2 linked regions of the Oryzias latipes genome follow. The protein of the gene in region 1 binds, or shares a complex with, the protein of each later gene. Links are inferred from orthologs where the notes say so. Each region holds a gene or a part of one and is shown on either strand. Other genes may lie near its edges. The genes, in order: bop1 and pes1.

The links.
Region 2: bop1 (region 1) and pes1 share a complex: the UniProt entries of both Homo sapiens proteins name them as parts of the peBoW complex. The link is inferred for Oryzias latipes from reciprocal best matches to the Homo sapiens genes BOP1 and PES1.

Annotation. Positions count from the first base shown.
Region 1 is NC_019869.2:4,817,072-4,833,501, reverse strand, and holds bop1 (ribosome biogenesis protein BOP1), read left to right. Parts: upstream 1-7,527; 5' UTR 7,528-7,615; coding exon 7,616-7,699; intron 7,700-8,092; coding exon 8,093-8,293; intron 8,294-8,367; coding exon 8,368-8,463; intron 8,464-8,834; coding exon 8,835-8,989; intron 8,990-9,065; coding exon 9,066-9,183; intron 9,184-10,688; coding exon 10,689-10,790; intron 10,791-10,861; coding exon 10,862-11,074; intron 11,075-11,149; coding exon 11,150-11,311; intron 11,312-11,382; coding exon 11,383-11,463; intron 11,464-12,608; coding exon 12,609-12,678; intron 12,679-13,072; coding exon 13,073-13,205; intron 13,206-13,292; coding exon 13,293-13,476; intron 13,477-13,554; coding exon 13,555-13,846; intron 13,847-13,920; coding exon 13,921-14,005; intron 14,006-14,079; coding exon 14,080-14,187; intron 14,188-15,364; coding exon 15,365-15,518; 3' UTR 15,519-15,703; downstream 15,704-16,430. Other genes in the region: hsf1 (heat shock factor protein 1), read right to left, coding at 67-203, 303-411, 3,361-3,486. UniProt on the Homo sapiens protein: Component of the PeBoW complex, which is required for maturation of 28S and 5.8S ribosomal RNAs and formation of the 60S ribosome.
Region 2 is NC_019867.2:13,296,407-13,312,926, forward strand, and holds pes1 (pescadillo homolog), read left to right. Parts: upstream 1-7,775; 5' UTR 7,776-7,948; coding exon 7,949-7,972; intron 7,973-8,169; coding exon 8,170-8,249; intron 8,250-9,152; coding exon 9,153-9,306; intron 9,307-9,784; coding exon 9,785-9,894; intron 9,895-10,023; coding exon 10,024-10,195; intron 10,196-10,276; coding exon 10,277-10,366; intron 10,367-10,886; coding exon 10,887-11,003; intron 11,004-11,075; coding exon 11,076-11,153; intron 11,154-12,126; coding exon 12,127-12,216; intron 12,217-13,002; coding exon 13,003-13,133; intron 13,134-13,768; coding exon 13,769-13,894; intron 13,895-15,096; coding exon 15,097-15,281; intron 15,282-15,435; coding exon 15,436-15,593; intron 15,594-15,708; coding exon 15,709-15,876; intron 15,877-16,129; coding exon 16,130-16,204; 3' UTR 16,205-16,455; downstream 16,456-16,520. Other genes in the region: pole (DNA polymerase epsilon catalytic subunit A), read left to right, coding at 1-165, 239-364, 624-713, 797-919; p2rx2 (P2X purinoceptor 2), read right to left, coding at 2,208-2,321, 2,450-2,527, 2,609-2,674, 2,748-2,838, 3,026-3,156, 3,493-3,646, 3,734-3,814, 5,182-5,278 and 4 more. UniProt on the Homo sapiens protein: Component of the PeBoW complex, which is required for maturation of 28S and 5.8S ribosomal RNAs and formation of the 60S ribosome.

The sequences.
Region 1 (16,430 bases):
ACTTCTTTTATTGGATCCCAAAAGCCTAAAATCTGGCCTTGTTGGGGTGCTTTTGCAGGCACATACATTAGTGACTTTGCGTTTGATGTTTTCCAGAAGGTGTTCTTGTCCTCTGATGAAGAACGGATGCTGGAACTCTGTGTCGTCTTTTTCTGGTTTCACCAAACCGCCCTGCTCAATGTGCACAACCTTACGGAAACCATCTGGCCACAGACAGACACAGAACATCAAACAGCTTCTGTAATTCCAGCGTTTATCTGTATCCTCGGTTGAGGTGAGCAGAGTCGCCCGCTGGTACTCACACATGTTGAGCTGTCGGATGAAGCTGGCCATGTTGTTGTGCTTGAAGAACTTCGGCAAGACTTCTTTAGAGAACCGGCACTGATCGAACACATGGAAGCTGGTTCCATTCTGACACAGAACAAGACCACGAGTTATTAAAATGATTTAAATCATAAACTAGTGGTTTAAATATTCAAATGCCACGAACAGACAGATATTATTTCTACTCCAAATAGGCAGATTGTTAAAATAGTTCTTGCCATGTGGTGTCTACAGTCAGAGAGTCAGCGAGTTGAGATCCACTCACCAAACTCACCTGAAATCAAACTGACCACTCTGAGTCAGGTTTCCAGGAAGCGCAGCTCGGCACGGAAAAATCCCCAGTAGATTTAAAAACCCACTCTGATATAAATGGTGTCTTTGGTGTTTTTTAACATGTTTTCGTGGCATGGTTCTGATGATGGAGGATATTTTTTTTCGGAAAAGAAGCTTAAAATTGCGATTTCTGTGCATTTTTTCGCTGTGAAGCAGGATCAGACAACAAAATGCTGCTTGTAAAACAGAAAAACTTATTAAAGCTCTACGTTCACACTGCAGGGCTTAATGCTCAATCGGATTTTTTGGAAAAAATCAGATTTTTTTGCAAGACCGTTCACATTTCCTAGTAAATCCGAACTTTTGTGATCTCCAGTGTGACCGTGACACAACCCAAACGAGACCTGCATGCGCAGAAGAGTACTCAACGGCGAACGACGACACTCGTTGTTTGCGGAAGTAGCTAACATTAACAATGGATGTCAACAGCAGTGTTGTCAACAGCGGAGCTCTTTTGTATTATTACATTTATTTTCCCAAAGGAGCAGCACAATTACAATCTTCTCATTTTAAGAAGGCATTGGAGCCAGGATCGTCCATACCCACTGTTGTGGAATGGGGATGTGTATGTGCTATGGCCGTGCGTGTGTCTGTGTATTTGTAAAGAGAGAAGAGAAGAAGAGCACGTGCAGAAAGGTGGGAATGAGGGGGGCAGTGGGGGCGCATTCATGTTGTGTGTTATGGAGGAAGGAGAACGGTAATAAAAGATGGTTTCCCCATGAATAAATGCTTTTAACTCTTTATTAGCCTTCTTTGGAGAATATGGGTGTCTGAACGGGGAAGTGAACCCCGGAGGAGGATCCGCCTTCGGCCCTGGAGAAGCCGGTCTCTGCCGCGCTTCTGACCACGGTCGGAAAGAGGAACAAAGTCATCACGGGGAAGGTTCAACACAACGCTCGGCCATTTCGCTGGAAATCTTTTCAAAAACCGGCCAGTTGCGATAAGAGCCCTGGAGTTTGACCTGAATAGAGCGAACACCCCAAATAATAATCAATCGGTGACCTGCTTCTCTTCCACTGACTGGTCTCAGCCGCATCGTCCACCATGGTTGATGTTTACATTCTCGTTCCCGCCTACTTCAACGCAGAATGATGACGTTTGTAGCGTGTCGATGACGTACGATTCGGATTCAGGTGGCCTGGCGGTCGCAATTGAAAAGATCGGAATCAGGACGGCATACCCATGTGGCCTGGGTTCGCATTTGAAAAGATCGGATCTGTGTCGTTCAGACTCTCATGAAAAGATCGGAATTGGCTCGCATAGGGGCAAAAAAATCAGAATTGGGTCGTTTCAGCCTGCAGTGTGAACGTAGCCTTAGCAATGGGGGGGGGGGGGGGGGGTCGCTTCACGCCAACAAGCCCCCCATCTCGTCCACCCAACCCGGAGGCGAATTTTTAATGAATTCCTGCCGCTCGGCAGAAACTATGTCCAACAAAATCAACACAGGTTTTGAGATTTTGGCAAAAAAACAAAATAAAATAACGACAAGCTCTTAATTAAAAGAGCACTGGGAACACTAAAAATAAAACAAAAGCTCAACAAGTAGCTCAAAATATTATCAGAGTGGGTCTATGATTCTTTTTTCAATTTGTGGCTACAACTGGAAAAAAATTGCACTATTTTGTTTTCAAGGAGGCTACAATTTTTGTGGTTTAGAGCAGCGGTCCGCTACCGGTCCGTGGGTCCTTTGGTACCGGGCCGCACAGAAAGAATAAATAACTTACATCACTTCCGTTTTATTTATTTCGGAATCTGAAAGATGTTTTACTTTGAAAAATTGCCCGATTCTCTGTTCCATCCGTCAATGTCACTCTTGACGCCGGCCAAGGCGCTCTTCTTGGTCACGTTATAGGTTACCGCTAAAATAGTCGCCCTAATAAGCACACAATATGAGATCATATGTATAACTTTTGAAATATGTATAACTTTTAAAAAGCTAAGTTTGAACTGAAAGTATGTGAAAGATGTAAACACAGAAACCTTTCGTAGTGAAACTAATGTTCAAACTGTCCATTCTTATTACATTTTAGTGGTATTCATTCTCACACCTATGGTTCTGAAACAAAAATAAGAACAAATAAGATAGTTAGTCGAACGCATAAGAATATTCAATGTTTTGCTAGCTTAAAGATGTTCTTTTTAATATTTCCATATTTATCCCAACATACACTTCAAGCTTGTGGGAAACGAGTTGGGAGTGAAAGCTTAAACAGACCTTATGCTGCCTAGAACATCTCACATATATTGGTATTTTATATGTAGTAGTTTTATTCAGTACACGGCAGGATTATCTTTTGAAGTTACTGGGTTTTTTAAACTACGAGAAATTCCATGACACTGTTTATGGGTATACCGATGTGTGAGTTTTAACCATTTTGTCCTAAAATTTGTGCCTTTATAAAAGTCCACTGTTATTTGAAGTTGTATGTCACTTGGAACGGTTTTGCTTTTAATGTTTAATGTTGTAGTTGTAATTGTCTAAATCGTGTGTGGTTAATAACATTTTTTATTACACTTATACAACACATTACAAAGTATGAGGATGTATGTTTGTGTATATTAGCTGTAATTCTTTATCTTAATACACACAAAACGAGACTTTAAGTTGAGTTCCAGGTTATGGCTGCGTTCTTTGAATCAACTGTGGACGACTACGTGCGCTCCCTCGGATATGCTAGGCTAAGGCTAAGCTAAGGTGATTACCAGGCTCCAGCAGATGAGATGGTCGGTCTCGGGGTCCTCCACCAGAGTCCAGAGTTTTGTTAAGAACGCCGGGACGTTTCCTCCACTCACCACCACCCCTCCTCCAACTCCTCCAGTATATTCCATGCTAACGACGGTAGTAAAAACCCCAATTGGACTTTTTCTTTAGCTAACCTGAGCTAACGATGCTAACAACAGCTAGCCTACCGTAGATCCCATTTTCAAGGACCACACACACAACAAATAAACTGCCAAAATAGCTCCCACTGTGGTGTAATTAGATCGTCTAAACCCCTTGTTCTGAATCAGAACCCAGCAAGTTCCAGTTTTTTCAATAATATCTTCTTAAAGTCCTCTAAACAAACTCCGTAGTGGAAAATTCCGACAAATCCGATAAAGCAAACAACTGCGCAGCTTTCTAGTTGTCGCAGGATGATTGCGTCACGACAGCGCAATACATAATGCAATACTTCGCAAAACATTTGAAGTTTTGTCCATCCATGTGGATTCCTTTAAGATAATTGTTTTGCATGTTCCTTCTTAGTTTAAATAAAATGTATTGTAACGACCCAGGGTTTAGACAGAGCTGCAGGTGGCTGGCGCCCCCCTCTTTCTGTCAGTTGCTAGACCACTGTGTGTGTGTCAATCAGTGGTGGGCGGGTGACTGATGGAGAGAGGGGGCGGGGTCTACCTGTGGAAGAGTGTGTGTGCGCGTCATCGCAGAAGTTAGTAGTAGCTGGCTGTGCCTGTTTAGTCACGCTGTGACCGTTATCAGATACAGAAATCTCAATAAAGAGCTGTTGAACAACCGGCCGCCTAAGGAGCTTCCTTGCCGTCACTACAGTATTATTATTGTTAAAAAAAATACTTCGCAAAACATTTTTGTATAAATAACAAAGTTAAAGAAATACACCAAAAAAAAATCTACATAACATTTACCCCACAAATATGGTTATGTCCAAATTCTCAAATATAGAAAATAATGGTGGTTTTTGTATTTATTTCCCTGAATCAGTTCTTCACCTTTTCTACTTTTGTAAATTTTCCCGTTAATTTTGGAACCAATTAGAATGCTTTGTAAACATCAAATTTAACTGTAACATTATTTTAAATTTGAAACAAATCTTCACATATTTTAATTCGGATGATAAAAAGGTTGAAAAAAGTATCAATTTTTTACTTCTCCAATCCAAATTTTACATGCATAAGTGCAGAAATAAATAAAAAAAACTCCCGATTTTACTATATTTAAGATCGAGATATTTCAGTTTTATGAATGTATTAAAAAAGATAACACACCCAAAGTAAGTAACACTGGAACAATTTGTGCTTTTTTGTTTGATAGGTAATCCCCTCCTCTAAGAAAACTTTGTATTGTAAACAATATTATTATTATTTTGTAATCCCCTTTTATATATTTTAAGATACTTTATTTTCCTATCAGCAATTTCTATTTTTGATACATTTCTGATAAGATTTTTACTTGAGGTGATTTAATGAGCTTCGAATGATGGCATTGATTACCACTGCTGATGATCTGTCTGATTCCTTGATGTTGGATTTTGTATGTTAATGCTATGTTCAATAAAGCTGGGGAAAAAATACTTCGCAAAAAAACAACACTAATGAATCACTTATAATATTCCAGTTACCCCCAAAAGAATTTGCAATAGTCATGGATGCTATTCCTGAAGGAATTATAATGTTATTTAAAGGTCTTGTGCACCCATTACCCTCACGTTCAGTCTCTTTATTTGAAACCAATATTTGCAAGATCTGCTTTACTATGAGAAATTCAACAAGAAATAAACAAATAAGATCCCTACAGTCGTACCCTACGTGACCCACTATTGGAGAAAATTTGCCCCAGATGAATGGAAGAAAGTTTGGACTTTGTCCTCCAAATATTTTATTTCAAATAAACCCTGAGATGTTTGCTTCAAACGTCTTCGCAGATGCTACACAGCCAAATCCTCACTACACATAGACATTGATAGAAACTGCTCCTTTTGTAAATTAGACACTGAAACAATCACGCATCTATTCTGGAAATGCCCCCAAAGAGAAACTTTCTGGAAAGACTTTTCCTCTTTGTTCAGTGTAAAATTTCTAAAAAATAATTTGATCTGATATACAAAGATATATTATTTGGTTTTTAAAATGTTAAAAATTTATTATTAAAGGAATACTACTCAATTAACCTTTTAATAATACTAGCCAAATTTCATATTCTTAAATGCAAATTTTCTGGGAAAAAAAGGCCTTATTCAAACTTTTTATTATTGAATTAAACAAATAAACCAGAACAACAAAATCTTATTCTAACCCCAAAGCTATAAGAACCTTTGACACCCTGGAATTTTTTAAATGTACAGAATAGCAACTTACTGCTTTCAATTCTCTTCTTTATAATCATTTTTCTTTTCTTTTTTCCTTTGTTCTTTATGTTCCCTTGGCACATTTTGTTACTCATTTTTCTATCAGTGTACTTTAAAGCTGACTCGATTTTGTGATCCTGTATATCTTCAATAACGATTTTTGAGGGGAAAAAATATATTTCGCAAAACAAGTGATGCAAAGGCCAGTAATACAGATCAGCGTGCTATTTTATATAAATTCATTGTGTTGGAATATCTAACCTAAACAATAAAGTTTGTTTTTCCTAATCAAACAATTTATTTGGTGGTTATGATTTAAAACTTTGAGTTTTTTAAAGTATAAACAAAAAAAGTTAATAAATAATTACTGAGGCTAAATTTAATTGCTGCCATACTATGGATGGATGGATGGATGGATGGATGGATGGATGGATGGATGGATGGATGGATGGATGGATGGATGGATGGATGGATGGATGGATGGATGGAAACTGTGTTTTCTCACTCCTAGGCAGTTGCAACCATTGAGTTATATCACTAGAGGAGACATCACGTGGTTCCTCATGGGAGGAGAGCACCGCCATCTTGGTGAGGTCAAGTCACTGCTGCAGTGCATGCATGTGAACACATTTTTTGCATAATGCCAGTTCATTGTGCGGATTTCAACTGCCAAAATCAGATAAATGAGTCCATGAAGGAGGTAGGTGTATCATTTCACAGGTAAGTATTTTATTTTTTTTTATTTTAAGGCTGCAGGGGCTTCATTAATAGAACGTATGTTGACATGCATGATGCTGCAGGGCTGTTATCAACATGCTGCATGATGTACATTTATTTTGCTGTCAATATAAATGTAGATTTTATTTTGCTAAACCTGTATACAGCATACTAGGCTATTATAGTAATATAGATTTAAACATTTCTGACTCAGTGACTGAACTTTTCTTGCAGGATTCCAATGGATTCAGACTGAAGGAAAAAGTGGGACTTAGCTATAAAAAGAGTTAACCCAGATGGATCACTGTGGTACCAACTAGTAATACAGTCTGACTGTTCAAAACATTTGTGGAAACAGATTTTGATAAGAGGCCAGACTGTTTTTTTAGGGTAAATCTATTGTCCTATTGTCTATATTATTTTGAATATTATTATTATTATTATTATTATTATTATTATTATTATTATTATTATTATTATTATTATTATTATTATTATTATTAATAATAATAATAATAGTAATAATAATAATAATATAATTATTTTTATTATTCTTTATTGACTTGTTATTTATTTATTGTTATTTATTGTTTGTATTGACTTACTATTGATTTTTTTATTTGTAAGAAGTCCTGCAACAATGCATTTTCATTCAAGTTTGAGCTTTTAAGGCTGACTGTTTCTCTTCTTTAACATCAACAAATGATGTATCTATATATATATATATATATATATATATATATATATATATATATATATATATATATATATATATTATATACATAAAATATAATATATTTATATATATATGTATAAATATATTTAAATCTAAAAATATATACAGTTTATAAAAGCTACTTAGACACCACTAAAATCAATAGAAATCAATGTCATGTGGGCGTCGTCGACCTCACCAAGATGGCGTCGCGCTCCGCCACCGACGGCCAGGCTTCTAAAGCGGGCGTGTCTCCTCTAGTGATATAACTCATTGGTTGCAACGAACAATATTATTGTTCAGCCGGACGTGCAGTGAAGACATCTGACCGATAGGGGGCGGAGGCTGCCTTCGTGTCTTCTCGTTTTTCTCGGCCAGCATAACCTCTGACCCCGCGGGTTTTCCACGTGGGTCCGCGAAGCAGGAGCTGGAAAACGTGCAGAGCATGGAACAGAGATCAGAAATGAAGAAAGTCAGGGAGAAAACGAAGAGGAAGACGAAGGAAGTGGAGGAAGAAGAGCAAGATGAAGTGAGAAACGCAATCTAACTGTTAGAGGGAAAAAGCGGGAAATTACTCTGTGAATTAGCTAGGACTTGCTTGTTAGCGGCTAGCATGCTAATAAATAAGCAAAATCAAAACAGGCTGGAGCTTTTAAAAACGTTGACATTGCTGATAACAAATTTTCCCAACCGAACTGTTAAGCGGTGAAAATATCATATAGTTTGTTTATAAACAGACTTATAGGAATACAATATAAAAACCGCATGATTTATTTTTAAATGTATGTTTTCTGAATAGAGTTCAGTGAGAGCATCATAGAATTTGGAATTTCTTTACATACAATGAATCAGGATGCTAATATTAGCCAAACATCTATGGGGAATTGAACCATAAACAGTGATTGTGTGTGTTTGTCTTCAGCTTTTTGATATCAACAACAAAGCTACTGAGAAAGATGAAGACGACGATGACCTGTCAGACAGTGAGGACAGTCAATTTTCTGGACTGGAGGATTCCGGGAGCGACTCTGAGGATGAAGAGTCAGACGTTGAAGAGAAAAGTTCCGATGATGTGGAGGAAGCTGATGGATCAAATGATGATCCGGATAAACAGAGGCAGCAGGTGAGGTTTGCTGCTGTGGACTTACTGCGACCGGATATTATTATGGTTCTTCTGAAAATCTGTCGCATTTGCAGACAAAAGTGAAGAACAACAAAAACAAGAAAGGAGCAACTGAAGGAAAACAAGAGAAGAAAGGAGATGAGTATGAGCATGACACCTCGGATGAGGAGGTAGGAGTAGCGGCATCTGGGATTCTTTAGTGATCTCCTCGGATTGTCACTTTTATTCGCTTTTTATTTTTCTAGTAATTTCCTGTACGTCCTCAGCTTCTTGCATGTAGATGTTTGATCACCCTTTTTTATTTTATTGGTTATTTTAGAACAAAGTTTGTCTGTTTTTTTCTTGTCACTTGCCCTCTGATCTGGACCTACCTTACTTTACACAGTCTATTATTGTATAATTCTATATGCATGTTTGTGTTTTACCTTATTTGTTTTGCAAACCACCTTTTTTCTTTAAATACCTCTGTCCTGTTTCCTTGCTTGAACTCTTCTGTTGGATTCTAAAAGGTTCTCATGTGCTGGTTCTGATTCTTCTGCAGGACATCAGGAACACAGTGGGCAACATTCCCATGGAATGGTACAAAGACTTCCCTCACATTGGCTACGATCTAGATGGAAAGAAGATTTTCAAGCCAATCAGGAACAAGGATGAGCTGGACGAATTCTTGGATAAAATGGAAAATCCTGACTACTGGTCAGCTAGCCAGCGCATTTCCGCGTCCTCTACAGTTTCAAACAGGAAACGCTAACGGTTTTGGTTGTGCGTGCAGGAGGACAGTTCACGACAAGCAGACGGGAAGAGACATTGTGCTGTCAGACGAGCAGGTGGATCTGGTCAACCGACTGCAGAGAGGGCAGTTTGGAGACATCAACTTCAATGAGTACCAGGTATGCTCAGGGAGGCTTTGCATCCTTATTTTTGGCTTTTTTTGTGGTATTTTCAGAGGAATCTGTATTTATGAGCCTAAGTACAAATGCTCCTACCTGAAACCTATCTTTTTTTTTCAGGAAACAAGAAAAATGTGTTTCAAATATTCCAGCCGATGGTGATGTGAGGTTTTTGTCTTGTGACTTTCGGGTCATAAGACTTTTTTGCAGATTCACTTAAAATGTGAATTTGTCCTTGTTCTCAGCATTTAATGCTAAAAACTCAAAATCTAACAATTTGCAGATAGGAGATATTGTATTTTGGTCATCGATGTGCAATCTGGAAAAATTTACAAAGCAGACAGACTAACAGTTAAGCTTAGTTTCCAGAGATTCATATGAAATTTCTGACATCTTTTTGACAAACGTCTGTTTTTAGTCGCAAGCTGCACACATTTTGAAATTAAACGAAATTCCAGAGTGCCTCTGATTAAAAACAGTGGGAGAAAATACTATATTGGGGTGGAAAAAGTGACTGCAGGGAACACGGTAGCGACAAAGTGGCGTCAAAAGAGTGAACGAAAAAAACGAAACTATCTAAGATATGTCACAACATAACAAATTAAAAAGACAAAAAATATGCAAAAAACTACAAAGTAAACAAGCAATAACTCAAATTTGACCACATGTCCCACAGCCTTTGAAGAACCAGAGGGAAGATAGTGTCTAAAATGACCTATCAGCTGAAGTTTTAGGTTATTGTGACATAAAGCTGGTTAACCATTGTACCTGTTCCATATGTACTGACGGAGAAATACGTTTTGTCTTCTGTTCAGACAAGATTGACATCATCTATTTTAACCGTTTATATATTTATGTACGTGAAAATATATATGTATATACTATTATATATATTCATACCTCTGTATGCATATATAAACAGTAATCATTATCATAGAGGCAACATTTAGTCTTTACTAAAAGAAAAAAATGTTTTTTTTCTTCCAAATGTCAAATCAAGAGCAGCTTAAAGTGAACGAAAAATCCAAATTATAAATTCGGAAATAGTTTTAAACTCCTCAACGTATGCTGTAAACGTGAAATAAATATTGAACATTTGAAAAACGGTGAGCTTGAAAAATATATAGTTTATATTTAAAGAAATACTCTAAACTTAACTTTAAGAAAAACTTAACCTGAAACTGTTATCAAATGAAAAGTAATGACACACTTGCTGGTTTTTTTTTGTGGGTTTTTTCCGGTTCTCAATTTATAGTTTCAACTTAGAATTTTCTGAGTTATCCCAATTTTACGTGGGGGTGGAGTTCTGAGCCCATTGGGTACCAGGAAATGATTGACATTGAGAGACAGAGGTTATGGTGATGTCATATCTGCTCCAGGACAGTCTGTTGTTGGTGCTTCCTCATCCCTCCTTTTTCCATTCAGTTTAAGCTGATCCCGAGTGGAAACCACATATATGAGCTTTGAAGTAGCAGCTGTTGAGTTTGACTCCTTGTCTTCTTCAGCCAACAGTGGAGTTCTTCAGTAGCGACGTCATGATTCATCCAGTCACCAACAGACCTGCAGACAAACGGAGCTTCATACCATCCCTGATTGAAAAGGAGAAGGTAACAAAGTGAGAAGAATGCTGCAGATTTGCTTTTATCGCCTAACCATTGATCTATTTTGCCGTCTAAAGGTTTCTAAACTGGTTCATGCCATAAAAATGGGCTGGATCAAACCAAGACGAGTGCAGGACGACAGCAAAGAGCGCTACTATGACCTGTGGGCCAATGAGGATTCGTCCATTCTGGCGAAGCACAGGATGCACCTGCCGGCCCCCAAATTGCGCCTCCCTGGTCACGAGGAGTCTTACAACCCCCCACCCGAGTACCTGTTCACTGAAGAAGAGGTGAGGGCCAAATCAAAGTCCCACTTAAGGCATATTGTTTCTCAGTAAATGAGTCTTTGAGCCTCCGTTCCACAGAAAGCGCTGTGGGAGCAACAAGATCCCGAAGACAGAAAGCTGCCATTTATTCCCAAGAAGTTCTCCAGCCTCCGTCAGGTTCCAGCATATTCCCGGTTCATCCATGAGAAGTTTGAGCGCTGCCTGGATCTTTATCTGTGTCCCCGACAGAGGAAGATGAGGGTAACTAACTAATTAACTAACCCGCCTGCTTAACAGATGGAAGCTCTTCTCTCATACGAAACTGTCTGCAGGTCAACGTGAATCCAGAAGATCTGATTCCCAAACTCCCTAAACCCAAGGACTTGCAGCCTTTTCCAACAACACAGTCTCTGGTGAGTCACGCACCGCTAACACTCTGATCTGTTCTGTACGGTGGCCCTGAAGGACAAATCACATCAACAAATCCCTCAGTGCCAAGACACATTCAAGATTAAAAAGAATAATAAAAAGCTTTAAAAAGATGAACAAAATTCGCCCAAAAAATGAAACGTCTCAGAAAACAGAAGTAATTCCCAGTAATCAAAATGAAAGAAAATAAGAAGCTGGGAAAGGTATTATGGGATGTCACTGATTGGATGATGACGTTTGTACACCGCTTAAACTGGAAGTTAGAAAAATTGATCCCATGATGGAGAAACAAGTGATAATATAGAGCACTAAAATTCCATAAAAATCAACCAGAGAACAACAAAACACAAAAACAAATAGGCTACCATGGAGCCGAGGTACCTGGCAGCCTGCCGTGTCGCTCTCCACAGTTCAGGCAAAAACATCCCTCTGCTTTCCTCCTTCTTCAAAACTCAAACCTCATCATCCAATCAGCCAAATCCCATAATACCTAGCTTTTCTGGTTTCTTATTTTGTTTCATTTTTTTTTTAAACATTTCAAATTGATTTCTGGAAATTACTTTTGTTTTCCCAAATGTGGTTTCCCAAAAATCACTTTTGGGGAAAGTAAATGATAATATTTTACCTTTGGCAAACTAAAGAAGGTTTTTTTCAATGACGTAGGAGTCATTTTGGCATTTTCATTTTCCTACCTGGAAGTAAGACGACTTGATCTCTGAGGCTCCCCCTTTCGCTCCTTGTGGGCGCCGCCCATTTCATGACGTCAACCTAGATTCGGCCTCGGCAGCGTGTCTGCGTCTCGCCCACGAAAACAAACATTTAAAATTTTGCAAAGATGGATGTGAATATAAAAGGAAAGTGTTTACCCGACACAGAGAAAGTGGGTGTTAGCCTGGGGCGGGGCTGGCAGCTCAGACTCTTCCTGGAAGGGGCTGTTCCTCACTTTGTGATGTCACAATGTGAGGACCAACTCGTTTTCATGGTTTAGGAGGGGGTGATGCTCTTTAATATGTCTTTTTGATGGAGTAATTTGTTGATGTGTTTTGCACTTCCGTAGTTCTGATTCTTGGCTGAATTTATCCGTGACACGATGTGAGCTACATGACCTACTGCTTTTACCCGTGTTCAGGTGTATCGAGGTCACAGCAGTCTGGTTCGCTCCGTCAGCGTGTCTCCATCCGGACAGTGGCTTGCATCAGGTGATGTCTGCCAGCATTTTTTTTTTTTTTTTTTACTTTTATCTTTATTCTAGTCATGATAATAACAGCAACATCTCTAAAATTGCTCCTTTCAGGATTCTAAACTTTTTACCCAATCACAGATGGGTTTGAGAACTCTAAACATATTTAAAAAGATCATTTTCTTCATGGTATATTTATCACATAAGGTCTTCTGGATATAATAAAACTCAGAAAATGGTGCTTATAAGCCAAAAAGAAAGATCTAAATGCAACACTTTTCAAAAGGGACCAAACTTCTGAACAAGGGATAAGTACTTGTTTTAGTCGCAGGCTTGATAGAATTTTGCAGGATTCTGGTCTAAAATTTTTTACTGAAAGCTGTTATTAAAGTGTTTATTTAATGTGTGCACAGGTAGTGATGACGGTTCTGTCAGATTCTGGGAGGTCTGTTCCTCTCGCTGCATGAAGATTGTCCAAGTGGGCGGAGCCGTAAAGAGCGTGGCATGGAATCCAAACCCGGCCTTGTGTCTGCTGGCTGTTGCTGTGTAAGGATCTTCATGTTTCTTCCTTTGATTTTTTTTGTTTTATGTTCTCTTCTCAACATTTTTTGTTTGTTTGTGTTTTGCTTCCAGGGACTCGACGGTCCTGATCTTGTCTCCGTCTCTGGGGGACAAACTGGTCATCTCTTCATCGGAGCGGCTGCTTGCTGGTTCCCAGGAGGAGAACCCGTCAGAAGGTCCCCAACCTGTGGTCTGGTCTGAGACAGAGGGGGAGGAGCTAAAGGAAGGGATCCATCTTAAAATCCAGCATCCCAAAGTGAGAAATTCCACATTAGTGACGGGAATTATCGCGTGATCAAACCGGTGAACTGACTGGTTGGTTTTCGTTTCCCAGGCCGTCCATCAGGTGACGTGGCACGCTAAAGGAGACTACCTGGCCTCTGTGATGCCAGACCATTCCAGTCACCTGCAGGTGTTTATTCACCAGCTGAGCCGGAGGCGGAGCCAGAACCCTTTCAGGAAAAACAAAGGTCTTGTTCAGTGCGTCGCCTTCCACCCGATTAGGCCCTTCTTCTTCGTGGCAACGCAACGCTACGTCAGGATCTACAACTTAGTCAAACAGGAAATGGCCAAAAAACTTCAGGCCAACTCCAAGTGGATCTCTAACATCGCAGTCCACCCTGGAGGTAGGTAGAGTCTAAAATCCTCCCATAAAAACAGCAGAATGGAGCCTTTATGTCACCTGTCTGTCTTTGCACAGGTGATCATGTGATCTGTGGGAGTTACGACTGTAAGCTGAGCTGGTTTGACCTAGACCTCTCAACAAAACCATACAAGGTTCTACGGTACGTCCACATTTGGGGATTTCGTCCCATTCAAGACTGATGACAAAGATGCAATAATCACTTCCTGTCTGCAGACACCATAAGAAGGCAGTGAGGAGCGTGGCCTTTCACAAAGGTTACCCGTTGTTCGCCTCAGCCTCTGACGATGGGACGGTGATCGTCTGTCACGGGACCGTTTACAAGTAAGTCTTTAATACAAGCCTGTGAAATGATTGACAGGAGTGTCAATACTTAAATGCAGGTATTCCTATATGTTAAATGGTCAGGAATTTATAAAATCGCAGCATGTCGGAAACTGTCTCCACACCTTTGTGGAAGAATTATCAATCTAAAGCCCCACAAACTTCACGTTAGCTTAAGATCAGTGCAAAGAAAGCGTCGTGATATGTATGGAAGCAGTCATGTAGCATAATTAAAAAGAAACGTCAAATCCAGAAATGCTTTTTCATTTTCTACATCAACATCGCGTATTCTGTCACTTAATTAAAATGATGAAGAAAATGGTATTTAACATTTCATTCTGAATAAGTTTTCTGGTAAATGTGTAGCAAAATTCCTTTAGAAATGTCTAATTTGACAATTAAAATGGATTAACAGAAATGCTTTTTCATTTTCAAAATGTAACTGCATCAATTGACCCAAAATTAAAATGAAAAAGCAATATTTCAAAATGCTTTTTCATTTCTACTTAAAAACCGCTTATTCTGTGTCATAATTAAAATGAAAATGCAAAGAGGGGATTGCATTTTCATTTTAACCCCTGCGAATAGCGTCACAGAATTAACTTAGACTAAGCATTTCCAGAGGGGAGGCGGGGCGATGACGTCAGTGCTTTCTCCGTGTGTCCGGTTGCTAAGAGACACATGCTAGGAGCAGTGGAGCTTTGTGTTAGCGGCAGAGGAGAGGGCTTTGTGATGGTTGTGCTCTCCTGGTGATTGTACACAGCTTCTCAGGACTACGTAGCAGCATTTCTGCCTTAGACAGAATAAGCAGTGTTGAAGAAGAAAATGAAAAAGCATTTTGGCAGATTGCCTTTTCATTTTAATCTTGAGTCAAAAAATGCAGCTTCATTTTGAAAATGAAAAAGCATTTCTGGTTTTGACTTTTCTTTTTAACTATGCTACACAAATGCTTCCATAGATATGGGTTTTTTTAGGCCGTACAGCTGCATTTATGACACAAAAGGCCGTTAAAGGTTTTATGGCAGCAGGACCAACATCTTTCTATTGGTTGCTAATGTATTGTCATTAAAGTGTAAATAGAGATGAGCGTTTACTTTTACTAATACAGTGTACATAATGCTTTTCAATGACGTTCTGATGCATGCAGGTTTAATAGAACTCTTCTTTCCTCTTTCAGCGATTTGCTTCAGAACCCGCTCATCGTTCCTGTGAAAGTCCTAAGAGGTCATGTGATCACGCATGACCTTGGGGTTCTGGATGTAACGTTTCATCCCACACAACCCTGGATTTTCTCCTCGGGAGCTGATGCGACAGTCCGGCTTTTCACCTAGAAAACCTCTCCAATTGTGTCGGATCTACAATAAAGACGGGATTGCTTTTTTTTAGCAGGAAATTCAAAATATTTGTCCATTTTCATAGCTGGAATATTATAGTCTGTTGTTTCTCCACTACAGAAAATGTGTAATTTCTAGCATCATCAATGTGTTTGTTTAATAAATAGTAATATTCTTACTTAGCGGTTTCTGTTTTGATTGATAATTCATTACACTTCAAACAGCAGTTTAATCTGATCAAGTAGTAGTGGTTCATTTCAAGAAATCTAACAGTGTTTGCAGTAATGAGATTACTTGAGAAGTACTCCCCATATTCTTCCAATAATACTGGTAAATTATTACTCATTTTTAATCAAACTATTTGTTATTTAGATGACTTTATTAATACCACAATGGGAAAATTTCATTTATCTGTGGCAGCAAAAACAACATCCAGAAATAATCTATATAATATAACGTCAAAAAAGGACATCAGAAATGACATTCATATTAAATAAATATTTAACATTAAATAAATACAGCTGCAAAAGTGTAAAAAACGTGGTCTGCAAAACATGTAAACTGTAAAAAACATGTAAAAACTTTTTTTCATTTTTTTTTTCAAATACAGACATAAGTAATGAAGTTCACACCAAAAACAAACAACTGGATGGATGATCAACATAAACAACAAAAATAACAAATAAACATACTTTGTCATTGTGGAATGGCATTATGAAAGTTTGGTCAGTGCATCATTCATTCATAAAAATGCATTTACTCAATTACAATTATTGACAGCTAGTAAAAGGTGCATCAGTCGTTTTGAAACAAGTATTTACAATTATAGTGGTAAAATTGCAAAACAAGGGCAATTATAATAAATACACTTAAAAAATACATCTTATAAACATAATACAGTGAGTTTTT
Region 2 (16,520 bases), on another chromosome or scaffold:
AACAAGCTGAAAAGAGACCTTCTGCGCCTCGTTGATGTGGGTGAGTTTTCAGACGAAGCCCAGTTCCGGGATCCCTGCAACTCCTACATTCTTCCAGAAGTCATCTGCCACCACTGCAACTTTTGTCGGGACCTGGACCTTTGCAAAGATCCATCTGTGGCACAGGTAAACATCTTCTGGTAAGGTTATAATTGCACCGTGAGGCTGAAGTTTGATGGAGATGTTTGTTTTTCGTCAGGATGGTGCTGTCGTGCCGCAGTGGTTCTGCTCAAACTGCCAGGCTCAGTATGAAACGGATTCTGTTGAGGTGTCTCTGATAGAAGCTCTTCAGAAGAAGCTCATGAGCTATACGCTGCAGGACCTGGTGAGAACAATGATTTTTAGAAAATATTGTTTTCTTCTTTAAGCACTTTCACGTCTGCGCTGTAGCATCATCTTCTGTCTTCAGTTTTAATTTGAAATTCTTTTACATGGAATTAGAAACACAGACAGCTTCACAATTGGATTTTATTTTTTTAAGAATTCCCAGCACCTCCGACTTCCTGTCTTGTTCACTAATGTTGGTCCCTTTTGCTTTAAAGCATTGTCCTCTGAATAAAAAATAAAAAAAATTCTGTTTTAAGGTGTGCAACAAATGCAAAGGGGTGAAGGAGGCCAACATGCCGCTCTACTGCAGATGTGCTGGAGACTTCAGCCTCACATTCTCAGCTAAGGTTTCTGCTCTCAGATTTTTTCCATCCTTCTATTTTACTGTTTAAAGCATCAAACATTGAACATTTCTTCTTTCCTTTTAAAGAGCTTCTCTGAGCAGATCATGGTGTTTCGGAACATCGCATCCCACTATAACATGAGGTTCCTGGAGGAGACCATTGACTGGCTGCTTGCGATGAGCCCTCAGATTGAACAGAGATGCAACTAAAACGCACTTCAGGAGCTGAGATGTTGTCATGCGACAAGCTGGAGGACATGTGTTTAAAGTTTTATCTTTTCTATTTGCAATTTTATCATGTTAATGAATAATAAATACATCTGTTGAAACTCAGTTGGTGTGTTTTTTATGAGTTGATTGTATCTATCGGTACTCCGGAAGCTTTCTCCATCTGTAAGCGCATTATCTTACTTTCCCTTTCAGCCAGGAGCTCATATGTCTTTTATCCGTGCGTGACCTCAGAGAGGAGAGCTGCAGCTTTTGTTTATTCTGCCGAGAGAACAAATACGAGCCTCTTCTCACAACCTTGGTTGCCTCGTTGAATATTTAATAAACGTCTTTATGTTTCATGGGTTTCTAATGAACAAAATTGTCAACTTCGTTCAGATTTTTTTTTGCCTGCTTTCAAGTACCTTTAATTGCATGTCATTAGTGAGCTCAGGCACAATTATGCATCCTCAGAGAATCTCACTGACACCTGCTGCTCTTGCAGGATGACGCATGAGGGAATACAAGCAGTTCATGGCTTAGGAGTAATATTTTAAATTTACTGTTGAGCTCAGCCTCTGCTTAATTTAAACTCTACAAGTCACTTTAGGTGACCTTGGTGTACCTTTTTCTCTTTTTTTTTCTGTTTTAAGTTTCTTCATGCGTCATTTACAATCCTCTGTGCATCATGGAAGATATTGATTCACAAGCCTTGAGTCTCGAGTTTTAGGATGGACACTTGCAAAGCTCTCAGACACAGATGGAATCACACTCTCACTCCACAACCTTGTTAGAGAAGCATTTTTTATGGGAAGTGTCTGCCTTATTTGATTATTTTTCATCACTCTCCTCACAATCCCTTGCATCCTCTCGTTTTGCAACACGCACTTGTGTTAAGTCTTTTTTGTCCTTTAGAATGAAACTCAGAAGAAAATAACGCGTCTGACTGATGTTGAATGCAAAATTACAACCCAAACATCAACAATTAAGTGATTTATTATTGGACTGAACATTTGGGACACATGCTCTTGGTTTGTTAGATTTAACAACCAATTTTAGCTTCTCTGTCATGAAGCCAAGAATATATATTTAAATCCAGTGAAAATTAACACATAATCTGTGCAGTGTAAGTATTCTTATTTGTAGGCAGCACATAGAGAAAAGGACACGTTTAACAACTCGTTTTCCCCCCCAAACACGACACAGTTCTGTGACCCTGCAGACCCTTCAGGAACCTCTTTGAGCTGCTATGGTCAGTCTTCCACTGAGGATAGAGGCAACCTAAGATGCATCAAAGTGGTACGCCGTCTGACAGATCAGAGTGGTTGGAGCCAAAGCTGCCGATGTAGCTGAGCTCTGTGTGGACAAGATCTGTGGGGATGAGATCTGCAGGCTCCTGGATCACCTGCAGAAGATGGTTAAGATTCAGTTGAAGGCAGATTATACATGAAAATGTGGAGGAATGAAGAATTAAGATTAATATACATATATTGCTTGGAATCTCCAACCAAAGGCAGAAGCTATTTCTCTTACTTCATCAAATTTTCTATCGCTGTACACTTCATTCTTGTCGATAAATGTCAACATGATCCAGTCACAGATGATTGTACACTGCAAGTGAGAAACAGGAAGAAATTAGGAACAAATGCAAACCATTTCAATATTTCAGTAAATCTTTTTAGTCAGACTCACAATCCCAACTGAGGTCATGGCCGTAACTGAACTGATGATGGTCGGAATGGGACTAAACTTTCCAGCCTGCATGGATGCAATAATTAATCATCTCATCACGCTGGAAATGAATTAAGCTGAGAAATAGGAGTCCTCTTACTTGTCCATGAACTATTATATCAAGACGGATGCCATAAGCCTTGATGAGTGTCCGAGACTCCACTCCATTTTTGCTGTAATATTTGGCAAACCTGGGAAATCACATGGAAAAAAAATTATATATATTGTTGTTATATATATATATATATATATATATATATATATATATATATATATATATATATATATATATATATATATATATATATATATATATATATATATATAGCCGATTTTTATACGTAAACACAGATGTCAGTGATGGGTGTTGATACCAACCTGTAGTAGTACCCTGAATTGTCCTCGTCTTTTCTAACATCGAGACGGCGGAATGAATATGTGGGTTTACAATATGAAGGATTCAGATCTAAGTTACAGTCCCAGTTGATGAAAACTCCAATTACTCCTCCCTGAGAAAAAAGATTATGTAAATACATTTTTTTCATAAGAAATAATAATATAAAAACAATAAATAATGATAATCAACAATTAAATGTCTTTCTGTTTTACGCTTAAAATAATTCATTTAGGTGCAAAACCAAATTCACATATAGAAATGCATTTTATGACAGTAAAAATAATAATAGAGGGGTCTTATTGAGGTAAAAGATAACACCTTATGAAGTCAAGTATATTTAACAAAAGCTGTTGCAAGCACAGGTTGATATGATACTTGAAACTTTTTTTGTTGCAAAACCAGTTTGGGTCCAACATCTGACATGGTTGCTGTGCTGCTTCATACTCACAGTCCTGCAGAGCTCACTGAAACTCTCCCTTGCTTGACTTGCAATGTATCCCAGGCGGAAGTTTGGACAGTAGGGATCTGTCTCCTCATTATATTGGCACTTATTTAGGTATTTCCTTTTGCGGCGCTTGCCTAAAGAATCCTCTATATTTCCCCTACAAATGAGATGACCTCAGTTATTCTTCATGAAGCTTAATGGAAGAAACTGGTGTGATGTGTGTACAGTTTTGAGAGGGACCCACCTCAACACTTTAAATTTGGGGAAGTGGATGTAGTTCCTGATGAACACCGTAAAATTAATGGCTTCCACTAATGCTGGTTCTCTGTTGAAGGGAATAAATTATGCTTTATTCAGAGGACGGAAACCTGCACTATTTCAAACACAGAGTGGAAGGCAGCTATGCCCGCTCCGTCTGTGTGTACATGCTTCCCCTTTCTTCTCCAGTTTCCTCTCACAGTCGAAATCTCAGACATTTGACTCTTTTCTTATGCATGTTTACTAGATAAATCAGGGGCTCACATCTAGAACCACATTTTCTGGCATCTTTAAATCAATTCTTTTTATACATTCGACAATTATATGCATTAAATTATTCTATAAGTGTAAATGTGACTTATCACTCTTATTGCTCTGTACCTGTTGGACTTTGAAGTAGAAGTGTAACAATTCATTTGAACAATAATTTGATTCATATCAAAATTTTTGGTTGCTGATACGATTCATAGTCGATTTTGGTTCATTTTGAACGATCTGATTCACTGACTGAAAATGGATCCAGGACATCTTTATCCAAAAATTCAACCAGTGTGACTCAGAGATAAATACCTGAGTACTGAAAAGTGCAAGTGAAGTTTTCCAGATTCCATTTATTTCTTGCAAGATAATCAAGTGTAAATTAAATATGTGTACAAATAAGTAAACAAGAAGTAATGACAAATCCATTCAACTTTTAGTTTCATGTTGTTTTTTTCCATTTCAACAATCCAAAGGGAACATTATTAGAACATTCCACCACACTGTATGGTCACACAATTCAAAGTGTTTCCACACATTGGACTGGAATGACAGCATGACCCCCGCCGCAGCAGCAGCGGCAGCCGGAACCCCCCAACGCCACACGGCAGCAGGCAGGGGACAACCGCCCCCCGGGCGATCAAATCCGCCACCCGGGCCAGGACCAGCACTTGGTCGTTTTTAAGTTATAAGAGTAAAGTAAAGTAAAACAAACCAATCATTACATTTTGAAAGGATTTTACAATGATGCAGGTCTATTCGATTTGATTTACAACTGGATCGCAGGAATAAAAACTGATTCATCGATTAACAGATGAATCAAGTAATCGTTACACCCCTGAAGGCTTTTGGCCTTTTTCAACACCCCGTAGCCCCAGTGCATTCGACGGAAATGCTTGTGTAGACTGACAGAAGAAACTGTTCGGATGTCAAACCTCCTGATTGTTTTAGTTCCAAGCTGTGTAAGTGAGAAAACTAAAACGGCGCTAAATCAGGATTAAATAAGTAAAACAGATTTACAGATTTACTTTGAAGCCAGTGCATTTTTTCCCCTAATTTATTTATTTATTTATTTTGTTTTTGTTCAACTTTTTCGTGTCCTTACGATTCCAAAAAATGAACCTGATCTTAGTGTGTTTAAGGTATTGGTTTCAGATTGTGAATGACATGTCTTACCGTACAACAGCGTACTCTTCAATGGGACACCAGCTTTGGATCTCACAGGTTTTAAAGGTGTGGTTGTAATACTGAATACATTTCCCGGTTCTTCTGCCTGCAAAAAGAATAAAACGTTCAACTTAAATTAAGAGCGGAGGCTGTGGTGCACTTAAAACAAAACACGTGTAAAGAAATTCATGACGATACCATGGCCATTAAAGTCAACCTCCCCAGGGACGCAATCTGCGTCCTTTGAACAGTTGGCATTTTCAACTTTGTAATACTGTGCAGAAAAAAATGCATCTGGATTTTAGGATCATCTTTGTCAGCACTTCTATTGTTATTGTTTATGAAACCTCAGCTTACTCACCTCCGCACAGGTGCCTTGCTTCTGGTCATATGTGATATCTCTTCTGAGTAATGTACTAATCACATCACCTCCCTATGAAAAAAAGTGAAATGAATACCCAGAGCAGAATCCTCCATCACTAAGTAGTTGTGATTTTGATAGAGTGTAAGTGATATGGGGGAAGACGTTTTCCCAGCTTACTTCTGATGGACTGGCGTACTCCACACTGTCCAGGATGTCATCTCCATGAACTGCTGTGCCTTTCATGAGTGTATAAATAGAGCTATCTGGATGGGTTTCGCTGTCTTGGTATGCCTTCTGACTTATAAAAACATACCTTTGTGGATGATCGGACAAACAAACACAAAAGTCACATCTTCTCCACTGATGGGAAAATGTAATTGGAGGCATCATGTTACATTTGATCTACTCAGCCCACATGCAGTAGCCAAGAAAAGAAAATGACGCACTCAGACTCCGCTCTAGTTATCTTCCTATTTTGTTGAAATAAAAAGCTATTTTGCACTTGATGACTTATACATAAAAGATTAATTTTTCTAGTTTAATCCAACACAAATCACAACAGTCAGTTTACATATATAAAAAAAACAGCATTGTGTACAAATTTCTTTTTTTTTAAGCAAATATACAAACATGCTGCTCACTTACCAGATAAAATAGGTAATCACAAGAAACTGGACCGCCCTGTAAATGACTCCAAGAGTTCTGTTTTTCACGACCATCACTTTGGGGGTTTCGTAGTCCCAAAAACCACTGAAGCACTCCTTTAAAAAGTCATATAGCCCCATGATGACTTTATGAAATGCTGTACTCATATCCAAATCAGTGCTTGAGTCTTTTTATCAACAGAACTTTATCTTGTTACAACATTTCTTCTTCTCCCTGTCTGAGGCTGCTCTGCTCTTGTCTGCATTTTGCTGAAGCATCCCTGACATATGTGAGGGGTCCAATAGACAAGGGGTGGGGCTTAGATTTACAGTACAGACCAAATGTTTGGACACACTTTCTCATTCAAAGAGTTTTCTTTATTTTCATGACTATGAAAATTGTAGATTCACACTGAAGGCATCAAAACTGTGAATTAACATATGTGGAATTATATACATAACAAGAAAGTGTAAAACAACTGAAAATATGTCATATTCTAGGTTCTTCATAGTAGCCACCTTTTGATTTGATAACTACTTTGCACACTCTTGGTATTCTCTTGATGAGCGTCAAAAGGTAGTTTACCTGAAATGTTTTTCACTTCACAGGTGTGCCCTGTCAGGTTTAAAAAGTGTGATTTCTTGCCTTATAAATGGGGTTGGGACCATCAGTTGTGTTGTGCAGAAGTCAGGTGGATACACAGCTGTTCGTCCCACTGAATAGACTGAATTTGTTTTAGTGCTAGAAAAAAGCAGCTAAGTACAGAAAAATGAGTGGCCATCATTACTTTAAGAAATGAAGGTCAGTCAGTCCGAAAAATTGGGAAAACTTTGAAAGTGTCCCCAAGTGCAGTCAGAAAAACCATCAAGTGCTACAAAGAAACTGGCTTACATGTGGAGCGCCCCAGGAAAGGAAGACCATGAGTCACCTCTGCTGTAGAGGATGAGTTCATCCGAGTCACCAGCCTCAGAAATGGCAGGTTAACAGCAGCTCAGATTAGAGAGCAGGTCAATGGCACACAGAGTTCTAGCAGCAGACACATCTCTACAACAACTGTTAAGAGGAGACTTTGTGAATCAGGTCTTCATGGTAGAATATCTGCTAGGAAACCACTGCTAAAGAAAGGCAACAAGCAGAAGAAACTTGTTTAGGCTTAAGAACACAAGGAACGGACATTAGACCAGTGGAAATGTGTGCTTTGGTCTGATGAGTCCAAATTTGAGATTTTTGGTTCTACATGCCTGCTCCCACTGTAAAGCATGGAGGAGGAGGTGTGATGGTGTGGGATGCTTTGCTTGTGACAATGTTGGGGATCAAGAAAGAAAAAGGGCCAACATGTCTGTCTGTCTGTCTGTCTGTCTGTCTGTCTGTCTGTCTGTCTGTCTGTATCTATATCTATATCTATATATATATATAGATATAGATATATATAACAACCTGTAGGATAATATTGTTTTATGCAGCAGTCCACCATTTAACTAAACAGTGCATTCAAACATTGTTATTAATGTTATTTTTTTGTTATTGCTTTTTTTAGTAGCTCGCTCATCTACCGCAGCTTAATAAGACTATTGCGAGCAGGCAGATGAGCGGTCGACTGTGGGTCCTCGTGTCCGCTAAACCCAATCTGATTCTCTTGCGCATGTCAAACAACACGTGCATTTACAGCAAAACATGGTGGTCGTGTTCAGATTTTAACTACCTGACAACATATTTAGTTAAAAACGGTTTGTTTGGCTTTATTTCAGATAAACTAATTTCTTAAGTATGGGCGGCACTCAAAAGAAAAAGGTAAATGCTGGCGTTTTGTTTGAACTCAGTAACAGTTTCCATGCTACGTACGTAGCTAGCTAAACTAGCTTAAGTTTGTTCTAAGTGGTTCATTATGTTGGGCAAACGTTTACACGTGAATGTGAACAGTCAAAATTACATTTAATGCAGTTTACGGAAATTGTTACTGGAAATTTTTAAAACCGTTTTCTTTGCAGTTTGAGAGGGGCTCTGCCACCAACTACATTACACGAAATAGAGCTCGGAAGAAGCTACAGTTGAGCCTACCAGACTTCAGGTACCACACAGCTCAAGTTTTTTTCTTTTTCTTTTTTTTGTAAATAATACCTTTTTTTTTTTTTTTTTTTTTACCACTGATTTGGATGTTTTTTTTAACACGAGGTATTTGTTAAATTATTTTTGAACTGCAACTGAACTGGAGTGTGTGATTTTATGGTTTAATTTTCAGAGATTGTTATTAATGTACCAGCCCCTTTGTGTCTGCACATAACTTTGTGGTTAAGCATAGTTATAATAAAGGTTAACCTATTTGGAGCAGTTTCTTAAAGTATACACTACAGTGTAAAAAAAAAAGAACATGAAAACGTTGCAAATCATAAATGTTGGCAAACATTTATTTACTGTCCTTAAACATTTAACAGTTTGACATTCAGTAAATATAAATACTTGACATTACTTGCTACATTATTCAAACATGTAGTTGTAGAGTTGGATAAGTTAATTCTACCTTAACAGTCCTGGTACATCACCTGTCTGTCCTGGGAGAGGATCCCTTCTTCATCATGTGGACACAGCGGAGACTGTTTCCCCCGGAATCTGTTATTTATTTATCTATTTTTAATAACGTTTTGCTTACCGAGAAGTAGGGTCTAAGGGCAGGGGTGCCCAGTTTAGCTTAGTCTGTTTAGTTAAGTTTAGCAATGACCTACTGTATTTAATGACTGATTTAATGTTAGCCCAATAAGACAACTATTATTGTATTATTGGGCTATACAAAAAACATGCGACCAACAACAACCTTTAGCCTTTAATGCAATTAAAATATGTGCGGGCAGTGCAGCAATGTGCGTCTCGTATTGTGTGTGGCCAACATGATTTTCCATCAGATTTAGTCAGACTGCGATACACACTCATGTCATTTTTTTGTATCTCTGATGACTTGCTTTACTTTTTGTTTTAGACGACTCTGCATTCTTAAAGGCATCTATCCTCATGAGCCGAAGCACAAGAAGAAGGTCAACAAGGGCTCCACTGCCCCCAGGACCTTTTATCTGCTTAAAGATATTCGTTTTCTGCTGCATGAGCCCATAGTTGCCAAGTTCAGAGAATACAAGGTATTTCAAAATGTGTAAATGTTTTTTATTATTTTTTTATTACTTACATGCATAGAGAGAGCACAGTGTCGATTCCCTTTCTCTTCAAAGTGTGAATTAAAGAGCTTGTTGATACAAAAATACATTGCAGAAAATTTGTTAAAATAGAAATGATCACCAAAAAGTGACTAAGTTTGAAATGCATAACTTGTAGTTGATCTTTAATATGTAAAAAACTTTTTGTTTTTGCATTTTTTGCATTACCTGCAATGAAAAGTGAGGATTTAAGAGATCCATTCCTTCTCTGCAGTATAGACTTAAGTGTGCATACTTAATGTGCATGCTCACACATGGATTTGGATTTAAGGACTGGAAAATGTAAACAATATAAGGTTTTAATATATTATCAAACAACTTTATTTATTTTGGTAATAATCTTTTTGGATACTATACAGTCGAAGTGTAAGTTAGCCTAAAAATTTGTTCTTTGTTTTAATAGATATTTGTACGGAAACTGAGAAAGGCTTATGGAAAAACGGAGTGGTCTGCAGTTGAAAGACTGAAAGAAAACAAGCCAACCTATAAATTGGACCACATCATTAAAGAGAGGTGAGACTGACTTAAAAAGTGGGGCATAAGTAGATTTTTCTGTTAAATGAACCCATTGTTCTGTGTTTTTCTAGTTTTTAAATGTAAGACAGATAAACCTACCTCTAAGTCAATTGCTTTCTGTTGTAGATACCCCTCCTTCATCGATGCCCTCCGTGATATCGACGACGCCCTTTGCATGTGCTTCCTCTTCTCCACATTTGCCAGAACGGGAAAATGTCACGTCCAAACAATCCAGCTCTGCAGACGCCTCACTGTGGAGTGGATGAACTATGTGATTGCATCACGCTCTCTCAGAAAGGTGCAGCTTTACTGAACTCTTTCACAGAAAAAAATTACAGTTCTGTGTTTTCTGACATACAACCCACTCTGTTCCCGTTAGGTTTTCGTCTCCATCAAGGGAATGTACTATCAGGCTGAGGTGATGGGACAGCTCATCACATGGCTGGTGCCCTATCAGTTCTCCCATGATGTAAGTCAAATTGATGAAATGAGGTTCATAAGGAATATACCAATAAGCAGTGACAGCAAAATCAACAATGTTCTAACTAAACACAGAAAGTCCCCAGTTAATTAGTAAAGCTGTTTACATAGTTTCCAAAGTCTGACATCATCTTTTTATATTTACTTTTAAATACCATCTAAGTCATTTAGGAACCAAAACATTTTAATTAAAGGTGATTAATTTCCAGTTGAGGTGCAGACGCCGAGACTCCTTTATGTTGACTTGCTTCAGTGCCTTTTCATTGTTTTCCAAATACTGATGTCCTCAGAAGAAATAATTCTTCTTTACAAATAGACAATTTAACAGCTAAAAGAGGGAGGAAAGCTACATAAACGTTCATGTGATTTTTGATCATTTTTATAAAGTGTAATTTTAAACTATTTTTTTGAATTATTACTCAAATTATATGTTGAAATGTTTCACTTTGACACAGTTATTTGGTGAGTAGACCTTTTATTTTTCTAAAATAATATTTTTGCTGTTTTAGCACCCAACAGATGTTGACTACAGAGTCATGGCAACTTTCACAGAGTTGTACACAACCCTGCTGGGGTTTGTGAACTTCAGGCTCTACCATTCCCTCAACCTGGTCTACCCTCCAAAGGTATTTTGAACTGGAGACGATTTTAAGACATACGTATGAGCTCCACTTTGAACCTACTCTGTTTTCACACAGCTGGACATTAAAGCAGAGTCGGAGCTCAAGGGAGAGAATGAAGATGAATATGCTATGGACTCAGAGAGCTACCCCGAGGTTAGTTTTTATTTATTTGTTTCCCACAGTGAACAGCCTAAAATGCCTGTTTTTATTTACGGCCTTTTGTTTTAGTATTTATTTTCTCTTTGACTTTTATTGTGGCCCTAAAATCACATTAACACATTTAGCAAAAAAACTTGTGAAAGATCACAATGACAATTAAAAAAGACAAAACTATTAAAAAACATAAATGAATAAGATTACATTTTAGTAATTGAAGCAATATTCCAGAAGCCAAAACCAAAACACAATACCAGAAAAAGGAAACAAAATAAAAATGAAACGTTTCAGAAATTAAAATTAATGTCCAGAAACAAAAGGAGAAACCAGGAAAGGTCGGTATTGTGGGTCCTAACTGATTGAATGATGACGTTTGATCACCTTTTCAACGAAAAGTTATTTGGCATTGTAGACAGAAGATATTTGATTAAACTTCTGGCCTCAGTTACTGCAAAGGGTTGACTGCTCATTCTACTCTCAACCACAGTTTGGGCAACACATTCTTCTGCTTTCCCTCTTCTTCAAAACTCAAACATCTTCATCCAGTCAGTGATACCCACCTTTCTTGGTCTCTTATTATTTAATGTTTAAACATTTCATTTTAATTCTGGCAATTCCTTTTGTTTTCCAAAAATGTTTTTTTTTTATGGTTTGGTTTCTAAAATGTAAAATATATATATATATAGATATATAGATATTTTTTTATCATTATCATCTTTTTGTTGTTGTTTTGATCTTAAATATGTTTTTGCATTGAATGATTTTTACTTCAGGTCCACCATAGACTTTTCCTTTATTTACATAAAAGCAGGATCAAACAGGATTTAGGCATCATGGTGCTAAAATGGATGGTATTTTATTAAACTAAAACTTTAGTCTGAGTTTTTTTCCCTCTTTTTCTAATACTGTATAAACATAAATAAAAATGAAGTAGATGACAGGGGGAAAACGTGATGTTTTATCTGTGCAGAAACTTGCAGCTCTCAGTGCCAGCCTGGCCCGGGTTGTTTCTACAGCAGAGGAAGAAGATGCTCAGCTCGATGCGTTTCCTACGGAGGAGGCAAGACATGTTTGGAATTTTTACATTTGTTTTTATTATACTTGATACAAATGTTTATTTTGTGGAAAAACTCCAAAACAACACCAAATAAATTCATAGGACATTCATTACTCTCTCAGGACAATTGGGCTAAAAAATTAGAATGTAACCAGGGATTTACAGCTTTATGTTTGTTTGCCATTGGTGCTTTGGTTCTCACCTGAGAAGCTTGTTTTGCTTTGCCAGTTTAAAATGGTCATCTAGGAATCGCGTAACACCATAGGGACTTCATATGGCTCTTTAAAAAAACAAACAAACATTTTTTGAGAGCCATAAAAGTCATTAGTGCAGTTTAAAGAGCCAAGTCTAAACTAACGTTTGGTCTTTTCAAAGACACTCATCTGCCTCTGAACACCACACTGATGATGGTACAATGCAAAGTTCTGTCAAATGTGACAAAAAGAGGATTAATTACCTAAACATTTTACTTTTGAATTTTTTTTTTTAATACTAGTTTGTGTCATGAACATGCATAATGAATATTTATGAATTTCACTCTTTTAAAGCAATGTTTATTTCTTAAAATAAAATAAAGAATTGTCATTTATAATTAATATAGAAAAATGACTTATTTTAGGGTTAAGGGTCAGCATTTTCGGTGCATAATGGAAAGCCTTAAGTTTAGCCTGCATCATCAAGAAGTGAATTAGGATACATGCAATTAATCTTTATCGCTCCATTTATAAAGGCAAAATTAAAACTCATCAGTATTTGAAACTTTTTTTTATTGTTATTTTTCTTCTCCAGGAGGATTTGGAGAAAGTCGAAGCTCGAGAAAAGGAGCAAATGCAGCTGGAAACCCAAAAAAAGATTTTTGAGGGACTCAAGTTTTTCCTGAACAGGGAAGTTCCCAGAGAGTCACTGGCTTTTGTCATCAGGTAAACACACTTTTGGGAAATTAAAGCTCCATTCTGATGAAAATTGTGTTTTGGTGTTTTTATGGAGTACATGTATAGAGGAAAATTATGCCCGGAATTGCATTTCTGAGTATTTCTTTATTCAAATTGCTGTGAAACAGGAGCAGACAAAAAAATGCCATTTGATAAACCTTGTAGGTGTTACAATCAGCGGCTCACAAGCTTCCTGTTCCGCTCCATTCTGATGCACCTCAACTGAGCTGATATCTGGCTCAAAACTGTACGTCTGGATATCTCCGATATTGCTCGCCGTTTTTGTTGCACCGGTAATATTAGGTGGGGGGGGGGGGGGGGGCTGTTAGCTAGCAGGAGAACACATAAGCAGAGAGCTCAGTTATGGGTGACGGGAAATGGGGGAAGGTTGCTCTCGGAAAACAGTCAAGAGGTGAATTTCTAATGAACTCCTGCCGCTCCGCAGGAAATATGACCCAGAAAACGGAGCAGGTTTTACTGATTTTAGCTAAAAATGGCATAATCATAATTACAAGACCAGTGGGAAGGAACGCTTAATAATAAATCCAAAGATGATCGGAGTGTGACCTTAATCATAAAGTAATGGTCACAATAAATCCAATAGCTTTGCTTCTGCCTTTCAGGTGTTTTGGTGGAGAGGTGTCCTGGGACAGGTCTGTCTGCATTGGGAGCACGTATGATGCCACAGACGAGACGATCACACATCAAATTGTGGACAGACCTAATGTGGACAAAAGCTACATCAACAGGTGAAGAAAACGATTTTTGATGACATTTCTGATCAGATGCAGTTTAAAAACTAGAAGGAGCTGCATTTCCAGAAGAAAATGCAGGGTTGAATGCTATATTTCTGAATGAAAACTTAAAGGGTCATAATTGGCAAAAATAAATAAAAATTGAAGTGGACCATAAAGGGAAAACAGCACAATAACAGAGTATATTTTTGTGAAAAATGCTAGCGCTGGGTATCGAACCAGCAAGCCCCTGCACCAAGGATTCCCCGTGTATTTCAATGGAGGCAAAAATCCAGGAATATCTTGAAATTTTCAAGGATTTGAAGGACCAATAGTCAAAGCTGGAAAAAGCTGAACATTTTAATAGTTGAATGGTTAAAATAGCTGAAAAATTGTGGGAGTTTAGCGCCAAAAAATGGTGGAGAATACTATAATAAAGAAAGAGAAACAGGAAAACAATGCTTTATAGCATTCAACCAAGTTACGTTCTTTACATACATGTAAAAACTGACTGGAGAAGCCCCACAGGCTGCAATCAAAACCAGCAGCTAACAGAGTCACAGTACTAAAGCAGCTCATTCAAGAAAGGCAGAGAGTCCACCCATCTTTGGTTTTAATCTGACATAATTATTTTTCATTGACAGTTGTTCCAAGATTTCACATGAAGCCAAAACAGAGCAGTGTCTTCATATTAGGAACTTTAGTATCTGCAATATTTGTATATCTTCACAGCAGGTTGACCGTTGAAATGCATAAATGAAAAAAGATGGCCAGCCACTTCTGCTTTTGGTTTATGTATTTTCCAAACCCAAAGCAATTCTTCCAGCACTAACCAACAAAGAAAAAAAAATTAATTTAAGTTCTCCATCCAGCATGTTCAAGTAGCTAAAACTTACCCCCTGCAGCATCATTCAAATGACCAATTCAAAGCCAAGTATTTGATCTATGTCGCTGCAAGAACAGCTGTTGCGGTTTTTACATACAAAATTGTCACAGAAAAAAAGTCCCTGAGTTCCAAACTTGAAATAAAATGTTGAATCCAGGTTGTCTTGGTTGTGTTTTTCCTACATAACTTCACTAACACCTTCATGTTTAGAATATGCCATTCTTAAAATATGTAATGACTAAACAGGTAGAAATGTTTACTAAAAGGCCCTTATCAATCATTTCATGTGTTGCAAACATCATAAAAGTCTTCTTTGATTTCCTTGTTTCAGGTACTACATCCAGCCCCAGTGGGTGTATGATTGTGTTAACGCCAAGGTGCTGTTGCCCGTGGAGGATTATTTTCTTGGGGTGACCCTGCCCCCTCACCTGTCTCCATTTGTGGAGGAGAAAGACGGGGATTATGTGCCCCCAGAAAAACTGAAGATAATGGCTTTACAGCGAGGAGAGAAACCTGGTGCGGATCTACCCGTTAACTGACAACTTGATTATTTTCTGAAAGCATTTCTGTTATCAGTGTCACCGCAAATGTCATGGAAAAGTGATGAACTTTTGTGGTCTTAGAACGCTTGTTCTCACCTTTTTTTTCTAAATACCATTTGGTGTCCTAGCACAAGAACAGGATGATGATGATGATGATGATGATGATGAAGAAGAGGAGAATGATGAGGATGATGATGAAGAGGATGAGGAGCAAAATGAGGATGACGAAGATGAAGCAGAGGAGAAAAATCTTAAGGAGATGGAAAAACAAAAATCCCAGGGAAAGGTGAGTCATTTCTGTTCTTTTGTGGCATTTGTCATGCTTTCTTTTTCTTAAAATATATTTATATTTTATATTTATTATTTTTTTACCTCTCTATACCTTGTTGCTTTTGTTTAAGTCTCTGCAAGTAAAAGTGACACCTGGAAAAATGAAGATGGAAAATCCGGTGCGCTTGGAGCAGGAGGAGAAGGCAGAGGAGAAGCGTCTCGCCATCATGATGATGAAGAAAAAAGAAAAGTACCTTTACGACAAGATCATGTTTGGAAAGAAGCGGAAAATAAGAGAGGTGCATTTCATTTTTTTTTATTTAAACAAGTGTCCAGTTCTCAGAAAAGATAACATTTCTACATATTTCTCTCTGTTTACTCGGGTATCAGTTCTTTTTTTTTTTATCTAAAGATAACCAGCATTGTTCAGCTTCTCTGTAAAGAGCAAACAGTCCCAGCGATGCCCCCCCCCCCCCCCCCCTGAGTTTACATAGCTAGAATGGGCACGGTTGACATTTTTGTTTATTACTTACATCTAATCTCTTCCAACAGGCGAACAAACTCGCAGCGAAGAGAAAAGCCTTTGACGACACCGAGAAAGCAAAGAAGAAAAAGACCAAAAATTGACTCATCCTGTCCATTGTTCTTTTCCCCATCAGCCAGATTTTGTGTATAAAAACTGCATGTGATGAAAGCTGTTGTTTTTAAAGCTACACATTTTGGACTAACTGACCTGCAGAAAGTCACATGATTCTAAAGTAAATAAACAAACTTCCTCATTTCTTATGAACATTCATATTTTGTAAACGTTTTGACTCCTTTCAGTTCAAGTTCTCTATCATTTGGTACTTTAAGTAAAACAATCTGTTGTACATTTATTTGAGCAAATGTTGGATGTTTTTTTCATCGGTGGTGTTTGGAGGGCCTCACTGCTGCAGCTGTG